2 linked regions of the Astyanax mexicanus genome follow. The protein of the gene in region 2 interacts with the protein of the main gene of each other region in a biochemical or structural test. Links are inferred from orthologs where the notes say so. Each region holds a gene or a part of one and is shown on either strand. Other genes may lie near its edges.

Evidence for each region. The genes of interacting proteins can lie anywhere in the genome.
Region 1: the proteins of ube2c (region 2) and rnf7 form a complex in vitro, tested with the Homo sapiens proteins (4 studies listed by BioGRID). The link is inferred for Astyanax mexicanus from reciprocal best matches to the Homo sapiens genes UBE2C and RNF7.

The regions. Positions count from the first base shown.
Region 1 is NC_064416.1:32,163,526-32,170,628, reverse strand, and holds the start of rnf7 (RING-box protein 2), read left to right. Parts: upstream 1-4,080; 5' UTR 4,081-4,139; coding exon 4,140-4,332; intron 4,333-6,230; coding exon 6,231-6,278; intron 6,279-7,103. Other genes in the region: pro-cathepsin H, read right to left, coding at 24-55, 378-462. UniProt on the Homo sapiens protein: Catalytic component of multiple cullin-5-RING E3 ubiquitin-protein ligase complexes (ECS complexes), which mediate the ubiquitination and subsequent proteasomal degradation of target proteins.
Region 2 is NC_064412.1:6,312,961-6,320,272, reverse strand, and holds the start of ube2c (ubiquitin-conjugating enzyme E2 C), read left to right. Parts: upstream 1-4,303; 5' UTR 4,304-4,432; intron 4,433-5,352; 5' UTR 5,353-5,362; coding exon 5,363-5,463; intron 5,464-6,770; coding exon 6,771-6,798; intron 6,799-7,312. Other genes in the region: deoxynucleotidyltransferase terminal-interacting protein 1, read left to right, coding at 870-930, 1,019-1,090, 1,681-1,736, 2,084-2,195. UniProt on the Homo sapiens protein: Accepts ubiquitin from the E1 complex and catalyzes its covalent attachment to other proteins. In vitro catalyzes 'Lys-11'- and 'Lys-48'-linked polyubiquitination.

The DNA of each region.
Region 1 (7,103 bases), on a different chromosome or scaffold from region 2:
ACTGAGAGGGATTTTTTTTTTACCTCAGACATCCAGGTTTTGAAGGCAAACTCATCTGCAGGACAAACAGAGACTGCATGTTTATTATACAACGTTACACTGCATTAAATAATAAAAGTTTTTCACTGGACCTGACTCTCTTGTTAAATATCCAGCTCAGACCAGCTGTCATCTAGAAAATATAAATATATAAATACTATGCTGTTAGACTAGCTCGTTAGGTTAACTATATGGTATATGTGTTTTGTCTGGTTCTTGAGCTGTATTTTTAGCAGGGTCTGTAGAAGAGAAGAAAACAAAAGCAGAAACGAAACTAAAGTCTGTATGTTGTTAAACTGGCCTCTCTCTTGATTTAAAGTTGATAACTGGACTCCTACCTTCCTCAGTTAAAATAGGAGAAGCGCAGACGCAGTAAAGAACCGCCAGGCAGGCGGTCGCTGTTATTAAAGCCGCTGTTTTCATGACTGAGTCGGGTCCGCTCCTCCAGCAGCTCTGAGCGCCGGAGCAGAGCACAGCCAACCCGATGGAGGCGCTGCTGAAACTCCCCCACCCCGCCCCCCGGGCCCAGATAGCAACAGTATGCTGCCAAATGTTGTCTATGTCGCACGTCGAAATTCGAAGTCAGACCAACGTTGGTCTGTTGTTGGCAGTATTTTTTAGAACGCTGGATAAAGGAGCTGGATAAAGGAGCGGAGATCGGCGTCAAAATGCCAACGTTTTACCAACGTCAGCTCCACGTTGGTCTTTAGCTTATTACCAAACAGCCCAAATTCTCACACACGAATATTGGAGCATGGCTGGAACATGGCAATTGTGCGTGCGCTCGCGCGTTCACGGGAAACAAACAAAAACCCACAGACAGACACATAGGGCACAGAACACAAACACACACACACACACACACACACACAGCAGCCACGGTCCAGTCGTGCTCCAAAACTGGTGCGCGCATTTGTTTGGGTAGATGTGGATAGGTGTGTACAGAACGCTACACCTTACACTGGGTAGCGACTTGAACCCTAGTTTGGGCACAACCTACAAACCAACGTGGAGCTGACATTGAAAAAACGTTGGCATTTTGACGACGATCTCGAAATTCAGTTTTTTTTAATAAGAGACCACTTCAGTTACTAAACCATTTTCTTGGATTTTGCTATTCATAGGATTTATAGGTTTATGTTTGAGTAAAATTAACATTGTTGTTTTATTCTATAAACAACGGACAACATTTCTCCCAAATTCCAAATAAAAGTTCAGAAATTAGTATTTGGTGGAATAACCCTGATTTTTATTCACAGTTTTCATGCATCTTTACGGAGCCCGGGAGGGGCCGTGGATAAAAAAAACAATTAAATCGAGTGAACGATGTAGCAGTTCGTGCTCACGTTTTCTTTAATTCGAGTGAACGATTTGCAATTCGTGCTCACGATTTCTTTAATTCGTGCTCACGATTTCTGTAATTCGTGCGCACGATTTCTGTAATTCGAGTGAACGATTTCTGTAATTCGTGCTCACGTTTTTATGCGCAATAAGACAAGAAGCTCGGAGGGAAAGGAGCATTTTCTCTCTTGATCTGTTACAGGGGTGCAGTAATGATAATCAGTTATCTACCTTTATAACCTGCTGTTATTAATGCACTAGTGTTACAGTTAGATGTACAGTACAGTGAGCAGATTTTGCCTGGTGGTGGAATCTCTACAGCGCGTGGGGGAGAGCCGTCCGCGGCATCGGTTCCCCCGCCGCCAGACACCTGCCGCGCGCGCAGGTCTTCACGGAGCTTATTTACCAACAATGTAGACAAATACAGTCAATTCCAGTCATGATTAAAGGAAACAAACATTACTAATGCAGGATAACTGTGTGTTATTAAAACCAGATCAAAACAAAGTTATAATGCAATGTGGAACTGTTTATAATTTCTTATTTTCAACAATAGTATAACGTAAAGAAGTATAATTATATAAATATACAGCTATAAGACTTAGGTCCAAATGTACACTGTAAAAGTTAATAAAGATAATACAAAATTAATGCAAGGTGTGACAGTTGTCTATGAATGGCTCATATAAGAGCTGCTTTAAATATGTAACACTATATAAAATCAAAATAGCTGGTCTAAAATACTATTAATACAATGTATTAAGATATTTAGTAAATAGGCATTTCATATAATAATTTGGATCAATTTGATAATTTATTCCAATATGTTTCCTAAAATAATTAAGTTTCTATATCTGATGAAATGTCCTGAATATCTGCTTATTCTCAAATCAGTGTCCTGCCCAGAAACATGCCACAAGCTTCAAATAAAAAAAATATAATAATTATAAACTTCTTAAATGTATATTTTCTGAATTATGTGTTTATTTATTATACAAATTATTAAAATATAGATTAAATCTATCATAAAAGTAATAATGATGTAACCAGATTTAAGAAGGTGTGCATTTCCTTGGAGGCTGGCTGAATGTTATTTAGAAATTAATAAACACATTTGCACATTGCATTATAACTTTGTTTTGATCTGGTTTTAATAACACACAGTTGTCCTGCATCAGTAAAATGTTTGTTTCCTTTATTCATGACTGGAATTGACTGTATTTGTCTACATTGTTGGTAAATAAGCTCCGTGAAGACCTGCGCGCGCGGCAGGTGTCTGGCGGCTTGGGGAACCGATGCCGCGGACGGCTCTCCCCCACGCGCTGTAGAGATTCCACCACCAGGCAAAATCTGCTCACTGTACTGTACATCTAACTGTAACACTAGTGCATTAATAACAGCAGGTTATAAAGGTAGATAACTGATTATCATTACTGCACCCCTGTAACAGATCAAGAGAGAAAATGCTCCTTTCCCTCCGAGCTTCTTGTCTTATTGCGCATAAAAACGTGAGCACGATTTACAGAAATCGTTCACTCGAATTACAGAAATCGTGCGCACGAATTACAGAAATCGTGAGCACGAATTAAAGAAATCGTGAGCACGAATTGCAAATCGTTCACTCGAATTAAAGAAAACGTGAGCACGAACTGCTACATCGTTCACTCGATTTTATTATTTTTTTTATCCACGGCCCCTCCCGGGCTCCGTACATCTTGGCTTGTTTTCCTTCACCAGTCTTACACACTGCTTTTGGATAACTTCATGCCACTCCAGCTGCAGAAATTCAAGGAGTTCAGCTTGGTTTGATGCCTTGTGATCATCCATCTTCCTCATCTTTTTACTTCTACTCTTTATATTTTCACATAAATAAATATATTAAATAAATATATATAAATATATTTTCACGTAAAATAAATATAATATAATATATATATATATATATATATATATATATATATATATATATATATATATATATATATATATATATATATATTTACATTTTTTTCTTCTTATTAAGTAAACTGATATTTCATTGGTTTAAGATACTAATTATTATTATTAATTTTTTTAAATACTATCTTATTATTTTGAGTTACTATTTTATTATTTTGAGATACTATCTCATTATTTTGAGGTACTCTCATTATTTTAACATAGTAAGTCAATTTTTGAAATACTAATTTATTATTTTGAGATACTATCATTATTTTGATATAGTAAATCATCATTATGAGATACCAATTTAATGTTTTTCTTAAATGTTTTTCTTATATTTCAGTTTTGTTTTTATTTTATTTTATTAATTCGTTGAATTATAATTTCTTATAACTACTTATTAAAACCGTGTTTTAGTTGTTGCCTCAGAGCAACATTATGCAGTTAGATCACTTTTGTTAGGACTTATGTGCAAGCACTGGTGTTTTTTTTTTTTTACCTTACAAATAAAACTAAATTTTATATGTTTATATATTTAATTAACGCTGAGAGGTGTGTTTGGGCTGTTAGGGGTTAATTACTACATTAATTGTTTATTTCAGCCCCTCGCTGTAGTTCTCTCTGTTTTCCCCCTTTAGCTGTGGATCACTGTGGTAATTTATCGCTGCTCGCTGATCCGGGATCAGCCCCGGTGCTCTGCGGCAGTGCTGGTCAGGCCGGGCTGGGTCTGAGCCGCTGATCCTGGGTCAGTGTTAGCGTTAGCGGGGCGGCCGGACGCTCTGCTGGAGTCGGCCATTTTGTAGCTGCCCTTTTCTGCCATGGCGGAGATGGATGACGGAGACGAGCCGGTTTTGGTGCACTCGATCAGCGGCTCCTCCGGGTCCGGCTCTGGGTCCAGCTCCAGATCAGCTGGGGACAAGATGTTCTCTCTAAAGAAGTGGAATGCGGTGGCCATGTGGAGTTGGGACGTGGAGTGCGATACCTGCGCCATCTGCCGGGTCCAGGTCATGGGTAGGTGCTGCTGTGGGGCGGCTAGCTGCTCGGCTAACCAGCTAATTAGCCAGCTAACCAGCTAAAGAGCTAACTAACCAAATAACTGAACAACCCCCCGAGCTCAGCCAACGTTACCTAATCCAGCTCAGCACCTGACATCGGTATTAATGCTAACCTGCTGAATCCGCCAGCTGGCAGCCCTTTCGACTCTGGTATGATGGAGCTGGATGAGCTAGCTGTAGCTATATTTATGTGGGCGGATTATGTGCAGCTATCTGCTGTTGCCAAAAGATCCTATCTCACAGAGAATATTAGCTAGCTAGCTAAATAGCTAAACAGTTAAGAGCAGTCTGTATCTGAAAGCTGGATAGTTTATTAATCCGTTTACAGGCCTTGTCTCGTATACGGGCTACAGGTGTAACATTAGGTGATACAAACCCTTTTTTGTCTGCATTAAAATTACTTATTTACATTCTGTAAATTTAAGGGCTTTAAAATCTACAGGTCACTTGGAGAAGCTGCCTGTTCACTCTCTACTCCACTTAATAATTTCAGTTCAGTAACAGGAATCAACCCAGACTCTGTATGTTTGAAAATAGACGTAAAACTAGACAAACATAACAAAACTAAAGGTTTCAGAAAAATATTGATTTTAAAATGAATTCAGGAAAGAGCTAATTTTATGATTTTTTTTTTTCATTATATTTTGACATTAGCAGATTAACGTTTTTTAAAATATATTTTCTGTTACAATTATGCGTTTCAGTAATGTTCCTTATCGAATATGAAACCTTTTTATGTAGAAATCTATTCAATCTGTTATTCAATGGTCAGGACCACCACAGAGCATCTCAGCACTGCAGTGACACTGACTGGCATAGTGGTGGTGTATGATGTGCTGGTGTGTGTTGTGCTGGTACAAGAATATCAGAGAGTACAACACCTTTTTAAACACATCAGTGTTTTTGCTGGACTGAGAATAGATAGTTCACCAACAACATGAAATATCCAGACAACAGTGTCCTGTGGGCAGTGTCCTGTGCTCACTGATGTAGGACTAGAGAATGAACAGCACAGACTTGGCAGCAACAGATTCAGGGTTTCTGTTTCTGACTTTGCTTTATCTACAAAGTGTAGGAGCAACTGTTGTTTAGGGTGTCTAATAGAGAGGACAGTGCGACTCGCACCGTGTTTAAAAACTCCAGCAGCACTGCTATGTCTGTGTCTGGCCCCCTCGTACCCCTTGTACCAGACACTAACACAAATTGCAAACTGGGCAGCAACAGATTCAAAGCATCTTTTTCTGACTTTATTCCATCTACATGTTGGGAGTGTTAAAGGCTGCCTTCACACTTTTCATGTTTGGTGCAGACCTTTGACTATTCAGTTTGGTCCAAACCAAAATAGCAGGTTTTGGGCCAACCAAAAGACCTGCTCTCAGTGTGGATTAGCTAAATTATCGTTTAATTAGTTTGCAGTGTAAAACACTTGTTTTTTTATGGTTCGGTTGCAGTTAACTGTGGCAGGCAATAATGACCCGTTAAACACTAGATGCAGCATCACCATACCAGTGTGACTGCAGTGCTGAGAATGACGCACCACCCACTCTGTGGTGGTTCTGTAGGGTCTTGACCATTGGTAGAACAGAGCGAAGTGGAGCTGATTGGATGGATAATAGGTGAAGGAACAAGGCGGTGGATTTAATAAAGTGGCCGTGGACAATATGATTGCCTTATGGGAACATACTGAGGAGTTCTATCTTGAGCCTCTTACCATATAGTCATTCTTGTTGTAGGTGTGTGTGGTATGTGTTTGGAAGCATTTTGCTGGGTAGCGATATAAATGTTTTTATAAAATAGTTATTAATACTTGTGTAATATTAATGAAACCTGTCTGTCTGTCTTTCTGTCTTGTAGATGCGTGTCTGAGGTGCCAGGCAGAAAATAAACAAGAGGACTGTGTTGGTAAGTAAAGCAGACAGTCAGTTGAGAGGTGCACACAGTTACAGCAGGCCACAGATGGCAGCAGTTGACTAATATTTTAGCTCCTGTGTATTCATGACCAACATGCTGACCTGCAGTTATGACTCAGCATCTGTGGTTGTTGCTGTTTACACTGACCTGCAGCGATTTGAGTAATGTAATCAACCCTAGTTTGTGTGTGTCCTTCAGTCAGTTTGATTTTATTCAGGTCGTTTGGATCACTTGGTCTGGATAAAAGGTGATATTCAAACATTACCTTGTTTTACGTTTGGTTCCTGTTTGTAGTTTTCACACTGATATTTAAGACCAAACTTAAATATATACACAAAGGAGATATGGGTTAAACAATCACATTTTATTGGGCTGATTAATGATATGATGTCACAATAGCTGCAATAAAATGTCAAATGCTTTCCAAAACATGTACTCTGGCCTTGAAAATGAGTCAGACCAACATTTAGAACCCCTAATCGAAATAATCTGGCTCATTTTGGTCATATTTTTTTGTTTTGTTTTTGACTTTTAGTCCTCCAAGTTGGGTCAGATATTGTAAAGCACCTTTTTCTTTAGGATTCAATATAATTTGCCCACCCCTTCTCTGACCCCAACTTCATAAAACCAAATGATTGGCAGCACTGCTTTCTAAAAATGTGAGATAATAATAATCATATATGTTTTCTCACTTATTGTGATGGTTGGGCTGCACCGAGTCCCAGAGACATAATCGCCCTAATTTTGTTTTTATGCAGAAAAAATGTGCAGAATTCATTGCACGGCTGGAATCTGGAATCTTTCTGACCATAATGT
Region 2 (7,312 bases):
AGCAGAGGGAAGCATGAAGTGCTGTAAGATTTTGTGAGAAAACAAAACTGCACTGACTTTAGACTTGATAATAAAACACAGTGGATCAACACCAGCAGATGACATGTCTCTCCAAACCATCACTGATTGGTGGAAACTTCACACTAGACCTCGAGCAGTTTGGACTGTGTGTCTCTCCACTCTTCCTCCAGACTCTGCTCCCTTGATTTATAAATGAAATGTAAAATTTACTGATGATCAGTGATGGTTTGTTTGGAGACACATGTCATCTGCTGGTGTTGATCCACTGTGTTTTATTATCAAGTCTAAAGTCAGTGCAGTTTTGTTTTCCCACAAAATCTTACAGCACTTTTATGGAGATGTGGATTTCATTTTCCAGCAGGACTTGGCACACTGCCCACATTGCCAAAAGTACCGGTTGGTTTTGTATTATATTCTAATTTTCTGAGACAATAACAATACAATAATCAGACTGATTTTTGGGTTTTTATTGGCTGAAAGCCATAATCAACAATAAAATAAATAAACATTTAAAATAGATCACTCTGGGTGTAATACATCTATAAAGTATTGTATATGAGTTTCGCATTTTGAACTGAATTACTGAGATAAAGTAACTTTTCAATGATATTCTATTTTTTTTAAGATGCACATTGTTGCTGTCATACATTCCTAATGATTCAATTCTTACTAATTGTTTCAAATTGTAATGATCAATAGACTGAAGATATAGACTGCATTATATAATTTTGCATTTCATTGTTATTATTCAAAATAAAATAAAAAAACAATATATTGAGTATACACCAAGTATTCACATATGCATGTCACAGTAATTAATGATATTGACAAATGGGTTTTTATTTTAGGGCTTTAGGAATGGGTGGCACCAGAGGAAGGATCTATATTAAACATGCAGACCTCTTTAAGGTATTTTGGCTCTCTTTGCTTTGTGGCCCAGTTGCTTCTTCACTGTTTATTTTAGTGACTGTTTTAAATGTGTGTGTGTGTGTTTCAGTATGCTGCTGATGCTCAGGACAAACACTGGCTTGCAGAGCGACAGCATATGAGAGCCACAGGTGGAAAGATGGTAGGTCATAAAACATTGATATAGTTGTTATATGATATCATCAGAAATTAAGACATATATTGTGTTACCTAAGTATTTAAAGCTATCTGCTCGCCTACATGAAGTTTGGAGGTGTGTAGTGATGAACTCTGAAGCTACATGAAGTTTGGAGGTGTGTAGTGATGAACTCTGAAGCTACATGAAGTTTGGAGGTGTGTAGTGATGTAGTGACTGTTATTTAACACTGAAGCACAGAGTCGCTGCCGTTCTCAGTCTCTTTCACTGTGTTATAATAATATCACTGACAGTTGGCTGTGGAGTATTTAGTAGTGAGTAGTGAAATTTCACTACTGGACTTGGTACACAGGTTCTGCATCCTATCATGGCACCACAGTGCTGGAGTTTACTGAGCTCCTGAGAGCCTGAGACCCATTCTTTCACTAATGTTTGTAGAAGCAGTCCCAGCATTCCTAGCTGCTGCTTTTATTATTATACACCTGTGATCATGGATGTGACTGGATTATTCATTATTTTTCAATACATCATGATAATAATAAAATAATACATTTTAAATAACAATTATATCAGTTTCTGTGATTTGCATTTTTCAGGCGTATCTTCTTATTGAAGAGGACATCAAAGAGCTTGCATCAAGTGATGAATACAAGTAAGTAACGTTAATTATCAGCACCAGTCTGGTTTCATGATTAAACTGACTAAATTACAGATACAGCTTTTTAGTTCTGAAGTACAGTAGTGAAGTAAAAATAATACTCCAGTAGATACAGATACAAGTACATAAGTACAGTATTTACATATTTACATTTTACTAATATAAAGTATAAAAATGTATATTAAACCATATCTAAATATCACTTACAGAGTAAATGTTTGTAGCCAATTTCGACTCACAAGTATAATAGGAGCTTGGTCTTCCTGAACTACACTTAAAGTGTGGAAATATGCAGAGACAATAAGACTGTAATCATATCTAATCTTCTCCTGAATTATTAGAGACTGCCCTGAGTTAAAGCTGGAGGAACTGAAGCCGTTTGCTGTGCCTCCGTGGATGTTGGAGAAGATGCAAAAGGCAATGGAGGCTCAGAGATCTGAGAAGGATGTTTAAGAGACATATTTCTTACTGTCATAAAACAGATAATGAACCTTCTAAACCCCAATAAACATGACTGGACCACACATAGTTTGGTATCCCAGAGAACCACAACATAGATTGCATTATTTTTAGTTTTCGTTCTTGTTGTTGACTTGCCTTATAGTCAAGCTTAGAAATTAGTTGTTTACCTTCATGCTGGAGAAGTGCAAACCAACATATTTTTACTGATTTTATTTTGATAAACCAGTATTTATAGAGATTGTTAGGCTCTGCTTTGTCTTTTTATTATTTTCTTTTTTTTTTAATCGGCAGAATGAGTTTTTCTTATGTAATTTTCTTTTTCTTTTTTTAATTCAGAAATTATCTTGTGATTTGGTTTTTACTTGAACTGCTTGTCTTTGTTCTGGCTGACATTTATTTTATGTTACATATGTAAAAAAAAAAATTGAGTTTTATTAAAAATAATTTTTCTTCATGTGTAATTCAAAGAAATATTCTAGCCTCGCCTATATTTTAGGAAACTGCATGCGGTTCACATGTCTTTTTTAATGCATTGTTTTACAGTAGGCAAAATATAAACTACTGTATCTTATTGTTACTTATTTTGTCTAAAAAATAAAAAAGAGAAATAAATAAAGCTGTTACAGTTATCATGAAAATAACATGTATTTTATTAGTTTCTCACCAAGAAATAAACCTGCATTGAAAAGAGGAATCCACCATCCTCTGGTCATTACTGAATACAACAGATAACAGACAAAAAAGTATTAAAACCTGCAAATGGCTTAGAATCAAACATGTTAGCTCTTAATATTGTCTTGCGTAGTTAATAGAGGTCATAGTTAAACTGACATATTGTATCTATGAAGATTAAATAACGTGGGATCACGTTATGCTAATGTTTCAATATTCCCTGCAATTTATACCAATTTTTAGGGACTGATTGTTTGCCAGAAGTACCGGGGACAATTCCCAGTGGCCTGTATGTGGGCTGCTATAATAGTTCAAACAAAACATGATTAATGTATTATCTAGTATTGAATTGTGCATTGGCCCTCATAACCCAGGGGCATGACAATTCGCAGGGTTTCCCCACAGGGCTTTATAGTTAGGCCAGTCGCCTTGACAAGAATTGCCCCCGCTTTGACAACTTCCCCTCAGCATCGCAATGAGGCCAAATAGTGCCATTTGTTGGTTAATGATGACACGACTCTATAAACCATCACCGACCATCATTTTGGCTTTTCTTTTGGAAATCAAGGGTCCAAAGTCTAGAGGAAGAGTGGAGAGACACACAGTTCAAACTGCTTGAGGTCTAGTGTGAAGTTTCCACCAATCAGTGATGGTTTGGAGAGACATGTCTCCCTCTGCTGACAACTATTACGGAGATGTGGATTTCATTTTCCAGCAAGATTTGGCACACTGTTCACACTGCCAAAAGAACCATTTGGTCTACTTTTCTGAGATACTGGTTTTTGAGTTTTCATTAGCTGTAGGCCATAATCAATAACAATAAAAGAAATAAGTGCTTAACTTTTCTCAAAATGAAGACATCACTTTAGTTTCTGAACCAGTTTCTCTGATTTTGCTATTTATAGGTATATATTTGAGTAAAATGAACATAATAGTGAACAATAGTGAAATAACAAAAAAGACACAGAACTGTCAGACCTCAGATAATGCAAAGAAAACAAGTTTATATTAATAAAGTTTTAAGAATTCAAAAATCAATATTTGGTGGAATAACCCTGCTTTTTATTTCACAGTTTTCATGTATCTTGGCTTGGTTTCCTCCACCAGTCTTACACACTACTTTTGAATAAAAGTTCAAGCAGTTCAGGTTGGTTTGATGGCTTGTGATCATCCATCTTCCTCTTGACTATATTCAAGAGATTTACAATTTAGTAAAATATTTTTTTCCCCTTTATTTATATATAAATGCTGTGGAGATAGGAAGAGGGTAGGTTGTCCATATAAACTAGCTCTGTCTGTACTGCATTCAACGGTCGCGAGCCACGCCCCATGCCGGCGCGACGTCCAATCAAATCGAAGAAAATCGTGAAGCGCGTTTTTCAATGGTTGCTAGGACAGACTTTTGTTTTGAGCGCTGGCTCCTGATTGGCTGAGCGGCTGGGCGGAGCGCCGGAGCGGTTGGGTGAGAGTCAGTTTAAACAGGGGGGCGGGATAAAGATTTAAAAATCTCACTGTGGAGTTTTACTGACTGTTAGAGACGGGACTGGACGCAGCCGGTAATAACTAGCCTAAATACGCACTGAATTTTACTATTTTGTGGCTTTTATTGTGAAATAATAATGAAGCTTGATTTGTATATCGATAGGTTATCGATTTAACAATTAATTTGAGCGATTTGGTTGGATATAGAGTGTGGGATGGCTTTAAATTTGCTGTGTTTTAGGAAGCTAACTTAGCTAGCCTAGCTTAGCTAGCGTTAACTAACTACAACTGCTCTTTTAGCTAGCGTTAGATTAATATATCATGCTTTAAACATGTTAACCTAAGACTTAAGTATCTATAGTAAACCTAGTTAACAAGTTTGTTGGATGTTAGTAACGTTAACGCTATTTATTTCGTTATGTTTTGGACGTGTGCTGCGTTTAGCTGTGCTAAGCTAGCGGTTTCTAACATAGCAACGGTTTGGTCGCACTGCAGTGTTTTAATGGCGTTGCTTTGCTTGTGTGGCTAATAAGCTATTTAACTGAAATGTCACGATTTAGCTAATCATTTTAAACGTTTGGTTGAGGCTAAAAATGGTTAGATTTTAGATTAAATACGTATTGTTAACGGTAACTCTATCTAACCCAGGGCTCTGGCTTGTCCTGAGCTAGATTAGGTTAACGTTAATTCAACTTGAGTTTAAAAAAAGGGAGAAGCTAAAGAAATGATGATATTCTTACGTAGGGTGGGTTAGTTAGGTTAAAATATTAGCCATGTATGTTTAATAGATAATAAAAACGAACATGTAAAAGATCTGCACTATGTAAGTTAATGTTATCTCTCTCTCTCTTTTCATTGTGATGTGCTTAGTAGCTGGCTAACCTAGTTTAAGAGGTGTAACATATGTAATAATCTGTTATAATGGATATTGTTAATGTTATGAACACACTGCTGAATGACACTCAATCCATAACCAAGTCATGTCGATTCTCAGGTTTTAAGCAATGGCCTCCCAAAATCTGGATCCTGCGGCAGCCTCCTCCACAGCTGCTCTGAAAGGAAATGAATCTGGCGGAAATGTTCCCAAAGGCTCAGTTTCAAAAAGGTACGCAGTGACTTTCCGTCCTCACTTCCAGAACCAGTGGTGATGCACTGATGGCAATTCTAGGCCGATACTGGTTTTACAGGAACACGCACGTTTTGTTTTATTGTTTTATTTGAATCCTCATTAGCTGCTATCACCATAACAGCTATTCATCTTGAGGTCAACTGCACATGGCATATTCTGCAGAATCTGTGTCTTTTCTGGACCCAGGAAATTAACATTACATGTATAAATGTGCACATAGTAATACATTTCATTAAAAATCATAGTGTCTTGTACATTAACCTAATCACAACAGTTAGTTGTGTAATCTTTTTTGGAAAACTGAAAAAATATATAATTTGTTACCTGTCCCTACTCTGTAACTATAAACTTTAACTATGAAGTATAATTATTAAAATCCTTCAAAATCCCTTACGTGTTTTGCATTGTTGTGAGACTCCAAATCCCATCTATGCTTAAAAAAATATTTCTATAGTTTTGTGTTAAAATACAAATTTTAGTGCCATTTTCAACATCTATCACTTGCGTAGAGGTTACACATGCTGGCCTAACTTTAGAAACAAATGTAATGTTTATTTGCCTTACAGTTTAGCTTTGAACCAACTGTATGCAAACAAAAAAAATAAAAGATTTCTCCTAAAACGTTTCCAACATTTTTGCTAACTGGTTCTTACATTTTCATAAAAAGTTGAATTCTCTTTAAAACTAGTATCATAACTTGATAGTCATGGTAGAAGTTGACAGATAATTATCATGACTTTCATCGCATTACAAGTCCATGGGGGCGTAATAGTATGCAATGCAACAGTAAAGATTTATTTTTATTAATTGTATGTGTCCATTCTTATTTGTTCATTTTGAAATTTTAAAGCTTCAACTTCTAGTCCCTTAATTTTAGATGCTTTGAGTTCTGATACTACTAGTATACACTACACAGAAATATGCTATTACTATATGCTGAATAGAGTTTTAAAAAGAAAAAAGGGGCCTGTTTATGTATATAAATATGTAGCATAGGTCAATAGCTAAGCTCCACATCCTGTTCAGTGCACAGTATCGTGTTGGATACGCACAGATGCACATTTTGCAAACTGCACTTTATACCTCCAATTTGCCTTCTTGCCACATCCTTGTCCTGAATTGCATGTAAAGCTGTGCACTGAGTTTTTAAACCTTTAAGAAATATATATTTATTTTTGTCTTTCATTATTTTTTCCAACACCATGTACTGATAATCTTGATTTACTTCATAATAAATACCTACACATTACTGATTGCTGTTTTTGGTCTCTGTATGTTTCTAGACTTCAAAATGAGCTGATGACTTTAATGGTGAGTGTTACATTTTTACATTTTTACATTTTTTCATAGTAACATTTTTACTCTTTAATGCTTGAGTATACATTAGGGCTGGGCAATATAAAATTGTAGCATAACGTGAGAAATGTGGTGGTGTAATCAGTAGGGGTGTGCCATATCGTATCACACACACACTTTCACACAAAAAAAAAACAATGACACAAATAAAAAAGATAAATACATTTAAAAAATCTGTGTTTTTCAAATAGCCAAGAACATTGTAATTGAAAAAGTACCATGAAATATTGTGGTGGTTTTTATTAGCATATCGCCCACCCCTAGTAATCTGTGATGCACATCTGTGTAACTGGTGTATTTCTTCATTGCTTAAAAGCACACAGACCTACAGCATGTTTTGAAGTCCTGTTAAATTGAAAGAAATTCATCACATTGTGGATGACATTTCTATTTAATTAACTCAATCTGCCACTATACATTTTGTCCTGTAATACTAAGTACTGAAAAAATGTATTTAAGTATTGTATTT